Diceros bicornis minor: one gene and its partner. The protein of the gene in region 1 interacts with the protein of each later gene in a pairwise test. Links are inferred from orthologs where the notes say so. Each region holds a gene or a part of one and is shown in the gene's direction. Other genes may lie near its edges.

Evidence for each region. The genes of interacting proteins can lie anywhere in the genome.
Region 2: the proteins of EDA (region 1) and LEPROTL1 interact in binary tests that used the Homo sapiens proteins (3 or more experiments, as listed by UniProt). The two-hybrid records come from large-scale screens. The link is inferred for Diceros bicornis minor from reciprocal best matches to the Homo sapiens genes EDA and LEPROTL1.

Annotation. Positions count from the first base shown.
Region 1 is NC_080781.1:63,071,558-63,078,720, forward strand, and holds the start of EDA (ectodysplasin-A), read left to right. Parts: upstream 1-4,147; 5' UTR 4,148-4,338; coding exon 4,339-4,734; intron 4,735-4,943; coding exon of another isoform or gene 4,944-5,072; exon of another isoform or gene 5,073-5,453; intron 5,454-7,163. UniProt on the Homo sapiens protein: Cytokine which is involved in epithelial-mesenchymal signaling during morphogenesis of ectodermal organs. Functions as a ligand activating the DEATH-domain containing receptors EDAR and EDA2R. May also play a role in cell adhesion.
Region 2 is NC_080768.1:27,856,427-27,863,750, forward strand, and holds the start of LEPROTL1 (leptin receptor overlapping transcript-like 1), read left to right. Parts: upstream 1-4,314; 5' UTR 4,315-4,410; coding exon 4,411-4,426; intron 4,427-7,324. UniProt on the Homo sapiens protein: Negatively regulates growth hormone (GH) receptor cell surface expression in liver. May play a role in liver resistance to GH during periods of reduced nutrient availability.

The DNA of each region.
Region 1 (7,163 bases):
TCAGATGTATGCTTTGCAAATATCTTCTCCCAATTGTTAGGTTGTCTTTTCGTTTTGTTGATGGTTTCCTTTGCTGTGCAGAAGCTTTTTAGTTCGATGTAGTCCCATTTGTTTATTTTTTCTATTGTTTCTCTTGCCCGGTCATCATCTCCTTTTGATGGAAGTCTCTTAGACGGCAAAGACTAACATTTACTCTGCTGTGCCAGACACTTTGATATATAGCATCTCATTTAAGCACAGCTTTCTTACAAAGCATATGTTGTCATTTCCATTACACAGATGAGAAAACTGAGGCTCTGAAAGACAGGCAAAAACTACTTGTCCTAGGTCACACAGCTGGCAAGTGAATACGCTGGGATTCAAACCAGGATCCAAGTTCTAAGCCCATGTTCCTCTTGACTATCTATCTGCTTATCCCTAAGTGGGTCAGAGAGTCAACTCTCTGATATCTATGATTTGTTCTGTGGATTAACCAGAGCTAAGAGGTATTTTAAACCAGTCCCTGCCCAACTCCTTATCATATTCTGCCAGAAGTTGTCAACTCATTTTGAATATTTATTATTCAGGTATTGTCAACTAATATTGCTTTAATATTAGGCCCACACATACAAAATCAGGAAGGGAAATTTTATAGGCCAGAAAACCAGTGAAGTACTACAAACCAATTATATTTGAATTTCTGGATTATTTACTTTTCTGGATTTTCCACAACTCCAACAGTAGGACAAATAAGAGGATAATTGCACAGTTGCCGTTTGGTTCAATTTCCTTGATATCTTTCCATAATGTGTTATACAGCTCTGCACACAGTAGGTGCTTCATAAGTGGAAGTGACAGGCATCCGCTTGGCCCAGTTCCCTTTTTGGAATTCTAGGTAGTCTAAGTTAACCATCTCAGACTTCATGCCCCATTCATTTGACAAACAATACTGGTGCCCACTATGTGGTAGCTGCTATGCTAGGTACTAGGACTGCCAAAATGGAAAGGACATGGTTTTTACCATCAAGGAACTCACAGTTTAGTGGTGAGAAAGCATGTGAAAAAATAAAAACACAATGCAGTAAGTGATATCATTGAGATATGCTCAGGGTGCAGTGAAAGCATAAAGGAAAACCTGTTTGGAGTGAGTTGTGGGGCCGCATCAAGAAAACACATGATTTGATTCTTGAAGAATTTATCAGGTTTCCCAGGTGAGGGCATTCCTGGCAAAGAAATCGGTTTGTGCAAAGACACAGAAGTGTTAGAAGTGTCAACAAATTTAGTATTGTGGTAGCATGGGTTCCTTGTAGGACAGCAGAAGATGAGGTTGGCCAGGCAGATTATAGGTCATGCTAAGGAGCTGATATTTTGTCTCCTAGAGTGCTCGGGGCCAGACAGATAAGGTAAATGAGTGACAAGGACAGTAATGGAGACTAGAGGAAGCAGATGGGGATGATTGTGCAGAACTTGCTCACACTTGTTTCAAGGGGGCAGTTCTAGCTGACTGTAGCCATATGGGAATGTGGATCCAGTGTTGGCAGGTTTTCTTATTTTTTAATAGAGCAGCAGGAAATCTGGATTTTTTTTTTTTTTTTAGTGAGGAAGATTAGCCCTGAGCTAACATCTGTTGCCAATCCTCCTCTTTTTGCTGAGGAAGATTGGCCCTGGGCTAACATCCATGCCCATCTTCCTCTATTTTATATGTGGGATGCCACCACAGCATGGATGGCTTGATAAGCAGTGCATAGGTCCTCGCCTGGAATCTGAACCTGTGAACCCCAGGCTGCTGAAGCAGCACGCACGAACTTAATCATTAGGCCACTGGGCCGGCCCCAGAAAATCTGGATTTTTAATGTGAAACCTCCTAATTTCTAAATGCTGGCAAGTATTTTTTTTAATTCAAAGTTTTAGCCAACATTGCACCAAACACAACACCTCCATTTGCTGAATGTGGCCTGCAGACTGTCATTTTGATATCTGTGCTGTAGGGGATGGAGTACTTATGGAAGCATAGAAGCTAACTGAAGTAACACTTCAAACACTTTTAAAAAATAACTACATACATTCCTCACCGGATTGCCGCATTCCAACATTTCTACTGCATATGAAGTCATATGTTCTTCCTCCAGGGAACCAAAGTGAGGTCCCAGGTCAAATGCAACTTGCAGGGCTTCTGAGGGCAATGGTGCAACTCAGAGTCTCAGTCATCCTGGTGAAAGGCTGGTGAAACATGGTAAGCTGAGACCAGTAAGGCCCCTGAGCACCACCTCCACTACCAGGAGATGGCTGTTACTTGTTCCCTTTTCACTTTAGGGGAAGAAGGGACAGCTTTTTTGAACTGTGTATGTAACCAAGTCAACACAGCCAGTGATAACACAGATAAAACACAATGTTATAGCTGTTCAAGTTCAAATTCGTCATTTTACAGTTGGAGAAACTAAGGTCTCAAAAAGCACAGTGACTTGCTCAGAGTGACCCAGAGAGAGCCAGTCTAGAATTTCTAGACTGAACAAGCAGGATTTGAGATTAGCTGTTAAGCGCCCTTTTTTATTTTCTTATCTGCATGATGATAATATTCTTTGCAAACTTTATATTTCATGGGTAAGGGCCAACGAGGGGACACAAAGACGTTTCTGAAGCACTGAGACCCTTCACAAAGTGTCTGGAAGAAAAGTTGGCTGTGGCTAATATATTTAAGGTTTATGACCTCTCTGCACTCTGGACTGACGGCTCTACCATATGCTTTGTTTTTGTTTTGTTGTTTCTCTTCTTTTGTTTTCTTTTCCATTTCTCCCTATTTTTCTTCTTTCCCACCAGTCTAGGTCTTAGGCCTAGCCATTTCAAGTCAAAAAAACTGCTAATTATTCATAACATGGGAATGAGAGTGCATGGTGACAAAGAAGCATACATACTTCTCCTGCTATGGTCATTCAGTTCTCTATAATCTCAGACTAGTGAGTCTTGTCAATTGTGACTCAATTAATCCTTTCCATCCTTCATTTCAGGGTCTATTGTTCTGACATTTTCCACTTTTTTTGTTGTTTTTTGCTGTGAACCCTTTTCTGATTGGTGCAGCTGTTGAAGATGCTGCAGTTGAAGCAGTGTACATCTGGAACATTTGGCTGACTTGTTGAACTTCCCCCAGGGACTACTCCAGGGAGAGGAGGGGGGTGTGGAGAGGCCAGAACAGTTGCCTGCAAATAGAGATGCCGATATTGTCTGGCCATTCTGTGGACCACCCTTGTAAAAATCCACCTCATTCTGGTCCTCGGTTTCCCCATTTTCTTATTGAAGGCACGTGTTCTCCACTCAAAAATCCTGCCGCGGTGGAAGAAGAGAAACTATACTGGCTGTGGATTCTCTCATACAGCAGTTTCTGCATTGCAAAGAGATCAATACATATTTGTTGAATTAATTAATATATCAAGAAATCCTAGTGGATTGTTTTACCCCGGGTGGGGCAACATCACTTCACTCCCACCTGACACAGGTGGGTTTCTCCGTCACTTAGATTGAGGCCCCAGACTCACTGTAAGAGTGGGGCTGCCTCAGTCCCACCCCATTCTCACTCCCTTTGGCTCTCAGGCTCCTGGGTCTCTCTTTCTTTTGCCACGCCATTGGATTGCAAACACAGCAGGCATGGTTTCATTCCAAACCCAGAGCTGTTTTAATTAGTTTAACGTCTGTTAAATGCTTTGAAGATTGAAAGCAACAGATAAGTACTGGATGATGTTATTAACAACTGCAGTTAATTGCAAACATTTCTATTAATACTAGTTTCTGCCTCCTTTTCTTTGCTCTACTTTCTCTCCAAGGTTCCCAAATTCTTCTCAGCCTCCCTCTCTTCCCTCTCCCCTGTACTGGCGCTACAGGGTTAAATTGGGGCGGAGTCCAGGGATGAACGACAGCGGCAGTCACCAACTGGAACCGGGCAAGCGGGAAGAGCTGGGTGGGGCCGCCAGGCAGAGGCGAACCCACACGCCCCCAGGTCCCGCCCCGCGGCTGGAGGCCCTGGGTGGAACGGCCGGGGGCGGGGCGCCGAGGCTTGGCGGGCCCGGTGGTTGGGTGTCCCGGCAGCCGCTTGAGGGATGGGGCGGGTCGGCCCGGGCCTCCTCCCTCATTCTCTCCGAGGGCCAGCCGCCCGTCTCTCCCGCCCGTCCTCCTCCCTTTCCCACCCCTCGAAGTGGAGCTGCACATGCGGCTGCTCCCTGCTCCGTCCCGCCCAGCGCCCGTAGCGCAGGAACGGGTCCCTGCAGCCCCCAGCCGATGGCAGGACAGTAGCCGCCTGTCAGGGGTCGTGAACCGCTGAGGCAGACGCGGCGGCTCCCGGGCCTCAGAGAGTGGGCGTCTCCGGAGGCCATGGGCTACCCCGAGGTAGAGCGAAGGGAACCTCTGCCCGCGGCAGCGCCGCGGGAGCGGGGGAGCCAGGGCTGCGGCTGTCGCGGGGCCCCTGCCCGGGCGGGCGAAGGGAACAGCTGCCGGCTCTTCCTGGGTTTCTTTGGCCTCTCGCTGGCCCTCCACCTGCTGACGTTGTGCTGCTACCTGGAGTTGCGCTCTGAGTTGCGGCGGGAACGGGGAGCCGAGTCCCGCCTTGGCGGCCCCGGCACCCCTGGCACCTCTGGGACCCTCAGCAGCTCCGGTGGCCTGGACCCTGATGGTTCCATCACCCGCCACTTCGGGCAGCCGTCACCTCAGCAGCAGCCCCTGGAACCGGGAGAAACCACATTCCCCCCAGACTCCCAGGACGGGCACCAGGTGAGTCACCTAGTAGGGGTGGCGGCGGCAGAGGCCCCCTCCCCTTGTGGGCAGGGCGGGGGCCCTCCCCCACAGGGCCCTGGGGAGGACTCTGCCACCTCGAGCTAAGTTGGAGGGTAGGACCTGGGAGGGGGCAGGCGGGCGTGGGAGAGGTTGCCCCGGGGCAGGTTGTCCCCGACCCCTGGCTCGGCTCACCCAGACTCTCTCAGGACCCCAGGACTTGGGAACTCTGGCCTGCGCCCGCCGTCCCCGGCTACAGGCTGCCTCGGGAAAAGTTGGCTGCGCTCCCGGCCGGGCCGGGGGGCGGAGGTGCCGGCGCTGCCCTTCTGGCGGACTAACGGCAGCAACTTGGCCCTTCTGCTCCTGGTGAGATTCTCTGCCCGCGGTGCTTGTTTTTTCGTGCCCAGAGCTGATGCCAGCACTAGCAGGCTCTCCTTTGGTGTTGGAGCTGTAAACAGCTGTAATAAATGCTCCACGCCGGTTGAAACAACTTTTAATCGTATTTTCAGCGCGGATCTTTCTGCGCTGACCAGAACGTGGGCTTGCTCACACTTACCTGCAATTTGAGACTGGTTGTCCTCAGTGTTCTAGTGAGGATCAGCGCCCCTGAGGAATTCTGGTAGAAATATGCCGTCTTGCTAGACAACTTCTGAACAGCAATTTAAAAAAATCTATGGAAATAAAACTCACCCTTTGCATGCCAGTTCTGACTCTTTTTTGGGGGGTGGGTAGGGAGGGGGCGTGTAACGTGCCTTCGCTACTGCTAGCTTGAGACCAGGAATCTACTGATGGAATAATTACTCAAGAGTAATCTCTCAAGAGCAGTTTTTGCAAACTTTATGATGTTTGTGCCCTTGTTAGCAAACTATTAGCTTTGCTGCTTGTTTTCTACTTTTTCTAGCTCCTTATTCAAGTAAATCTAGTGCACTTAAAATAAGTATTCTCTTGACTGCCATATTTTGTCTTATGTGAAACTTGAGAAGCATCTAAGAATCCTTTTGAGGTGGTTAAAGAATAATAGTGAATTTGTTCCTCCTGGCGAAGAGGGCATGTTGTGCAAATAATTTCCTTGAGGTCAGGGACCCAGGCCTTCTATATTTTCTACCACATCCAGAATCATTGTCATACTCTGCAAACATTATTTGTGCTACCTTGACCACCCATTCAAAGCTGCTATCACATTCATGATAATACTGTAATGTTAGGACTCACACATTTTCTACATTGTGCATTGTAAAGTTGCCCTGAGCCTTAAAATGTCTTGCTAGCACACTCCAACTTATATAACAGCCTATCAAAGAAGAGAATCAGTAGACATGCTTCTCATACTTGAAACTTTAAACACTGTAGCTAAATGATAATTAACTAGGATTCTGGCTCCCTTTATCTATCAACCCCCTCCTCCCCCAACAATGCCCAGTAGAAATACTTAGCAGCTGAACATTAATATTCTGTGAAAAGATGAAGGAATTGAGCTTCCTTAGTCAAATGATGGCCAAGGCTTTTTGGCATTCAGAATAGACAGACCCATGTTTATGGACTGAAGATTAGCAGGACAATTGTAGTCTAGGGCTTCTGTGATGGTGTGAGACTCTCACAGGTCTATAATGGCATTTAGTTACCTGTCTTTTGCATGGCACTTCAAATAGTTCTGTCTTGGTTTAAATACAGCTCCCTATTGTCTATCCTTTATTCTTTGTTTTAATTTTTTTGAGCAGTAGACGCAAGCATACTGGCTCTTTACGTTTGTTGACATCAATTAGAGTCAGAAATTTTTAGAATTGTGAGGCCACATGAGTCCGTTTTGTTTGATCCCCTTGCCCTGAGGGGGAAGTGACTTGTCCAAGGTCATGCAACTATTGTCAAAATTAGAATGGAAGTTGATATCTTGACTCCCAGATCAGTGCCCATTCCCCTATAGCATACTACCTCCTGGAGCCTTTTTGGAGGGAATAGGGTGGAGCTCCATAGTAGAATTTTTACAAAGTAGAAGGCTCAGATCTGCATCATTTTCTGCTACTTTACCTACATTTTGGCCAGACTAAGTTTAACCATGTATCCTTATTCTTCCTGAATTTCACTTTCAGGAGAATTGGAGTATGCTTTGAAGAAATTTTAGCCCAGATTCAACTTAAGTTTATCTTGAGGATATTAGTTTTAGCATACCAAAAAAACAAAAAAAAGGAAAAGTTGATCAGCTATTAGAGATAAATTGATACTGCTACACCTTGGGTAAAATTTCTAGTGCCCTGGTGCACCCTCTGCTGGCTTTGCAGGGACATTTAATTTCAGTATATGCTGACAGTCAAGATTCTAAGTTATACCGACAGATTCTGATTCATAAATAAGGAAATAAACAGCCTTGTGGGATTTGGCCACATAGGTCATATTTTTATATTTTAGTTTTTCAACACAAACAGCTGCTGTTA
Region 2 (7,324 bases), on another chromosome or scaffold:
AGGAAGATTGGAACAAGAGGAGGCAGAACAATGGGGGCTTGGAGTAGGACAGAGCAGGATTGGAATAAAGATAATGGAGAATTTTGTTCTCCACATGTTAAGTTTGAGGTGACTATTAAGCATCCAGGTAAACAGGTCAAATGGACACTTGGATATACAAGTCTGAATTTCAAAGCTAAGGTAAACTTGGTAGTTATGTTATCAAAATGAAGAAAGTATTAATGCCACAGGAAGAAATACAATGCATAGGGAGAGAATGTAGATATGGCAAAGAAGGAGGCCCAGGACCAAACTAAGAGAGCACTATCATTTGAACCTTGAGCAGAAGAAGATCCTAGAAAGAGTCTGAAAAGTAACTCCCGTGAGGTACAAGAAAAACCAGGAGAGTAGTAACGTGGTAGATGAGAGAAAGAGAGAATGGTCAACAGTGTCCACTGTTGTTGAAAGGTTGAATCAAAAAGTAGCCTTTGGATTTTGCAACGTCGAGGTCATTAATTACTTAACAAGAGAATTTCTGTTATTTAAGATCCCATCATTTGCCATGTACAGTTCTAGACAGTGGTGAACAAAACATAAAAGATTGTACTAACTTACATTCTCGTGGGAGAGACAGCCAACAAATATAGTTCAGATAAATAATAAGTGCCTTCAAGAAGAAAAGAAGGTAAGACGATTTGAAGTGCTATAATAAATAGGATGCCCAGGAAAGGTTCTGAGAAGCTACCATCTGAGCTGAGATCTAAATGATAAGAGGCAGTTTCTTAAAATGTCTCTGAGACATATCAGTAGCAATGTGTCAACCTGATTTGGCTTCTGATTCAAATGAACTATAAAATAAATGACATTTATGAGACAGTTGGAAATTTGAACACTAACTCATATATGATGATATTAAAGAATTATTTTTGGGGTGTGATAAATGTACTATAGCTATGTTATTTTTAAGAATCCTTTTAGAAACATACTGAAATATAAAAGACAAAAAATTATGTCTGGAATTTTCTTCAAAATAACATGGGAGGTAGAGGGAAGTGGGTAAGGAGTATAGATAAAACAACATTAACCATGTGTTAATTGTTGAAGGTAGTTGATGGCACATGGAAGTTCATTATACTATTCAGACTACTTTTTTATATATTTAACTTTTTCCACAATAAAAAGTTTTGGGGTTTTTTTGGTGATGAAGATTGGCCCTGAGCTAACACCTGTCGCCAGTCTTCCTTTTTTTGCTTGAGGAATAGTGGCCCTGAGCTAACATCTGTGCCCATCTCCCTCTATTTTTGTATGTGGGACGCCGCCATGGCATGGCTTGATGAGTGGTGTGTAGGTCAGCACCCGATATTCGAACCTGCAAACCCGGGCTGCTGAAGCGGAGTGTATGAACTTAACCACTATGCCACAGGGCCGGCCACCAAAAAAAGTTTCTTAAAAACTAAAACTAAAATCTTCTCTGAGGTTTCTCTGACTTGATCTGTAAGAGTTAGTAATTTCAAGTTTAACAAAATTGTGGAGAGGATTAAATCAGATAAATATTTAAAGCACCAGGCACACAGCAAGTGCTCAATAAACCACAGCTCTTCCTCTCACTCCTTCCTTATCCTTGTGAATTAACTTGGGAGGATGGGAAGCCATCTGAATAAAAAGTTTTGAAACTATGAGAAGTAATACTGATTAACTATTATGTAAGAATACTTACAGAACATTTAAAGGATGTAACAAAGTTTAGGATTCACTTGGCAAACTGATGAAGAAAACTCCTGACATTCTAGCTTTTTCAGACAATTATTTTCAAACTTTAGTTTGCATAGATTTTTTTTTTTTTTTTGTGAGGAGGACCAGCCCTGAGCTAACATCTGCCAATCCTCCTCTTTTTTGCTGAGGAAGACTGGCCCTGGGGTAACATCCATGCCCATCTTCCTCTACTTTATATGGGACGCCGCCACAGTATGGTATAACAAGTGGTGCGTTGTTGAGCGTCCGGGATCCAAACTGGCGAACCCCGGGCCCCGCAGCAGAGCGCTCGCACTTAACCGCTTGCGCCGCTGGGCCGGCCCCCTGCATAGGAGATCTTTAGGATGCTTGTTAAAATTTCAGAGTCCTGGGCTCTGCCCACAAAAGTTCTGATTCAGCAGGTCTAGCGTGGGACCCAGGAATTTGCATTTTTAGGATGCATCCCAAAGAATTCTCTTACAGGTGGTCTTTGAAATACAACATTTGGAAACACTGTTTTTAAGGTCTGGTGACTCTAGACAACATCTGTAGACCAAAAACAGTCCTTAGGGTAGTGAGCGTTTTCTTGCCAGAAACACTGTGGATCTCATGGAAAAGTCAAAGGAGCACAATCTCTTAGGATTCCATTACCATGGAAGCAAAAGAATATAGATCCCTTTAATCTGGAAAACAACCCCAGTTGCCCGTTAATGTCACCAAAGATGAATGTCTGTAATGCCCAACCCATTCGTATTCACAGGAGGAAATTAGGGGCTTAGCACTTGACTCAGACACTGGGGATTGTGGAAGCCCCAAAAGGCTTCCTAAAACGTGATCTTTCCCCCAGGACCCAAGCTATGAGCCTATGAGATAAGAACCTATCACTTCCCACCACCAATACCCCAACACTGATCAGCTCTCTCTTCTATGTTCCTTCAGCCATCCCTGCTTTCAAGAATGGAATACCGTGGAACAAATCAAGAAAAGGTGTTAGTGGTGACTATTTGGGATGGAATCATTTACTTCTCCAGGAATTCTACCTACTCCTTTCAAGATGGTTGGGAGGAGGAGGCATATGCCTGCTTCAGTGTAGAAAAGGGAGCTGGTGGTTCACAGACTGTCTAAATAGCATTTCCATGGCATATGTTGAAGTGTGCCTCGTGTTTTTGATACCAGAATCCTTAAATGGAAGCTCTTCCTTCCTGATACAGAAGATGGCAGAACTTTTTGCACTAACTTGAATAGAAAAAAATTCTACTCCTCCACAGGATATCTATAGATTTATTTGGGGCAGGAAGCCTCAAGTGACCTGTTTTTTAAAAAATTGTAATTCAACCCTGGAAGTAGTGGAGGGGAGCATGGTGGACAATACCTTGAGCTTCCCAGTGGCTCTCATTGTAAAGCGTGTTGGAAACATCTCTCCCAACCATTCACAAAACAAAATTTTATTTGCCAGTGTATCTGATTCTGGTGACGGAAAAGATTGAAAAATTCAAATCTTATGTCACCCACCTCCTCCTGTATCTTTTTAAAATCCTTCAAAAGATTCTCATTGCTGAGAGAGAAAAAACAAAACAAAACGAAAAAATTCCTTCAAGTAGAGAACCCTACTATATAACCATGCTGCCCCACCCCAACCTGGAGCAATCCGTCTGGCCTTCTCTCCTCTCTCCAACAGACCAAGCTCCCGGCTCCTGGAGTTCGCCCCCTGGCTCATCCTCCCCAATACACTATCCCCTCCCGGTAACGCCTTTTCCCTTTTCTCTCCTCTTACTTACACACCTGTTCATCCCTCTGTTGTCCTTCCCTCGGGGAAATCTTTTCTAACTGATCTAGAGCAAAGGCTTTCTTAGGACTACCGACCCATTTTCCTAGCAATTATCATTGTTCCAATTTTACAATTTTTGTCTCTGTCTCTCTCACTAAACTACAAGCTCCTTGAGGGTAGAAACCGTACCTAGCTTTGCTCACCTCAGTGCCCAGCCCTGCTCCCCACACACAGTAAGTGTTCAATAAATTTGTAGGATGACTGAAATCAATGCATTTGTACCTATGCTTTCTCGTATTTTTTCTAGCCCTGTTACTACTAAAAAACCAGCGCTTCTCAGACTCCCAAGAGATCGGATTTGTAGTAAATCCACCCTTTCCTGGGTCCCGGGGCTCCTGTCTCTGGAAGCGGGTTCTCTGCAGAACCCTAGCTCCGTGCAAGACACCCAGGAGCCAAGCGCAGACGACCCAGCTAGCCTCACTTCTCCTTTATCACAAGGCTGGGGAGGAGACAGAAATGGATGCGCTTTAAAGAACGCAAAATTATCCCCCGAAGACATCACACTCCGCCTCCCAGAGGACGGCGGCCACTCGTGCTCCCTTCTCCTCACAGAATGTGGGAGGTTGCGGGATACGCGATGGGGCTCCGGGACGGAGACCGTGGAGGCGGGCGCCGGCCTGCACCGCCCGGAGTCGGGCCGGGGGCGGAGGGCCTCGGAAGGCGGCGATCCGCGCAGGAAAGGCAGGGGTCGGCCCCACGACCCCCAGCCCGGCGCGCCCCCCGCGCCCCCGCGCGAGCGCGAGCCGCCGGCGGAAGTGCTGCGTCGCGCACTTCCGGGTGTTGTCTGCCCGCCGCCGCCGCCGCCGAGCGTCTCCGGTTTCCCGGCCGCCGCCGCCGCCTCGGGTCCTGGAGCCAGGAGCGACGTCATCGCCATGGCCGGCATCAAAGGTGGGCCTGGGGCGCGGGGCGCCGGAGGGCCGCCCGGGGCGCCGCCGGGAGAGAGGGGCGGGGGGCCCGCGCGGAGCTCCACACCCCTCCCCGGCCCGGGCGCGCGCTGTGGGGTCCCTGCGCCGGGGGGCGACCCCGGACCCCGACCCCGCCGCCGCCCTCGCAGCGCTGGAGCGTAGGTGGGCGCGGCGCCCTCCCGGGGAGGACGGCTCCTCCGTGGGCCCCCGCTTTCTGCTGACCTCAGCAGCCTCTCCCCCCGTCGCCCCCCGCGCCAAGAATGAAGTGGTCCGCGGGCTGGTAGGAGTCCCGCAGCGGCTCGGGCCATCGGACTTTTGCAGGAGTTGCATCCGAGAGAGAGCCGGCCGAGTGGGGTTTGGAGGGGCTTGAGGCCGCTAGAGATGCCAGTTAAGGAAAATCAGTGTCATTTCCCACTCAAAGGCACGAGTGCGATCTTCGGGTGCCGAGCCGAACCGAGTCCCCCAGGAACGCCCTGGAAGGGCTTAGGGACGGTTCTTTCCGAGATCTTGGCTATCACATCCACTCTCGGGACCGGTCCTCGAAGCTTGACACGCTCCGAAAACGGATGCGTTTTGATTTGTGCTGTTTCTCGGATGGGGGAGCTCCTATAAGCGACCCCAAAGTGCTCCTTTTCTCTTCCCTGTCCGCAGTTGCACGTTGAGGCTTTTTCACGTTTCAAAGTTTTTATTTAGTTGTGTTTTTCTTTAAGATAAAATAGTGTTAAAACTTAAAAATGACTCGTTTATTCCTGTATTTTCTTTAGAAATAGTGTTGCATTCTTTTCAATGTTTTGTTAGTCTGACTAGAAGCAAATACCGTTAACAGCGCTTTCAACTTGACAAACATCTTGACAACGAATTACATTGATTTCCTGACCTGCGGCTTTGTAGCAGGGCAGGCAAACAGGAAGTGAGAACTTTTATAGCAGTGTTTTTTCTGTGTGTTTTATCTCCTTCAAGGACAGCTTTTGTTGAGCTGCTTTTCCAGAGTCACATTTTTGCTTTAATGTCTGAAGACGTTTCATTTCCGATGTAGAACGTTGTCATTTGAGCAACTGGGATACTTTCCAATCTCCTTTTGAACTATGATACACCTTTTTAAATCCTCGTGTGAAAGGCAGTTGTGGTAGAATGCTGTGGTTTTTTAGAATGTTGCCAGTTTGCCTGTTCTTCCCCATTTCTTCAGTGTCATTAATGCAGGAGTCTCGGTCTTAACTTTGAATTTCCTTCTCCAAATCTACATAAATATTAATCGGGTAAAAGTGTCTCAGATGGAATTGCACTTGCGCTTTTGGTTTCAGAAAGATTCTCTGATTGTTATGATTGTTTACCAGGATATTTTCTTCCTGTTGGCCTATCTATATTAAGGAGAAGTGTTGCCATAACTGGAGTCTATTACTTATTTCTTGAGCTATTTACCTATTACTTTGTTACATATTGGGTTTTTCTGGTAACTCCCAGGTTGGGGAACTGGCCCCTTCTCCTACTCTAATTTCTTTGTTATCACAGAACCAGCACCCTGTCTCTAGAGAGTTTAGATAATTGGGCTGGTCCATCCCTAGCCTCGAGGCTTTGGGAGTAGAAACCAGACTCATCTAAGTTTTGTCTTCCAAATGTTGTGTCACTCAATTACGGTATAAATTCTTGCCTTGTTGATGTGTTATCTAGGACAACCGTTTATACACAAATGATGAAATTTGCATATAAATCAGCCTAGTTGCTGATTTTATAAGACTGACGAAACTTTACAAGAATACTTTTGAGCACTGTATTAAGGCTTTTATCTTTGCCAATATGATTGGGAAGTGAAATGTCACATAAAATTATTTTTTGATACCTGAATCTTATTTCATTTTAGTTCCTTGATTTTTTTTTTTTTTTTTTTTTGCTTTAAGAAACTGTCTTTCATTAACTTTTTAAGAGTATACTCAAAGAATTTAGACTTTCTTCTGTGATGATAGGAACATGAATAATTGTTCTCTGTCACAGGACGTAGTTACCCTCAGAAACCATCCAGTCCTAAGTCTGCTTGCCTCCTAGCCAAGATTGCTGCAAACTGGTATGCTTTTTGAGAATTTTCTGCCCTATTTAAAATTTTTTTCAGTCTCCTCCCTCCTGTCAGAGGGCAGATCTTGCTTATATGCAGTTCTACCTCCCTATTTCTCATTTGTTTCAAAATAGGAAACAAGATCATCAAACTTACAAAATTTTGTGTCACAAGTTACAGGTAACAGTGATCATTTCTGGGAAGGGGAAGTTACTTTTCACTTAATTTTGTTCTGGATACATGAATTGCTATTGAAAAATATATGTATAAATGAGCATAGAGGATTCTTTAAAATCAAAATTTTTTATTTTGCTGAAATTCACACACAATTTTGTCACCAAAAAAATGAATAAATAACCTCTGAATAAGAGCGTAAGGGTCTGTTTATAAAGGACATTAGCTTTAGTGTATGGGCTTTGTGACATCTGTTGTGTCTCTTTAGTGACCTTTGTTTCCTCCAGGATTCTGAGCTATACTTTGGCTTCTGAATAAATAAGGTGTTACTATATACTATTTATAGTGGTGAACTTAGCTGATTGACAACTACAATAGAAAAGTGGAGATGGTTTTTTACTTCTTCAGCATGTCTTAAAACAAGTATCTGTGGTGTTCAGAGAATTATTTGCATTCTAGATCTAGTCCAACTCTCATTTTATATGCCACTCACATAACTTATTTACACAGCTCGTCGATGGATAGTAGGAGCTAGGACCCAGTGTCTCCTGACTTTCAGCTATATGCAGTTTCTCCTCTGCTGCATTAGACACGTCTTTCTCTCCCTTCTCCTCCCCTCCTTTTCTCTCTTTTGTTTCCATTTTGGTTCCTTTCATTCAT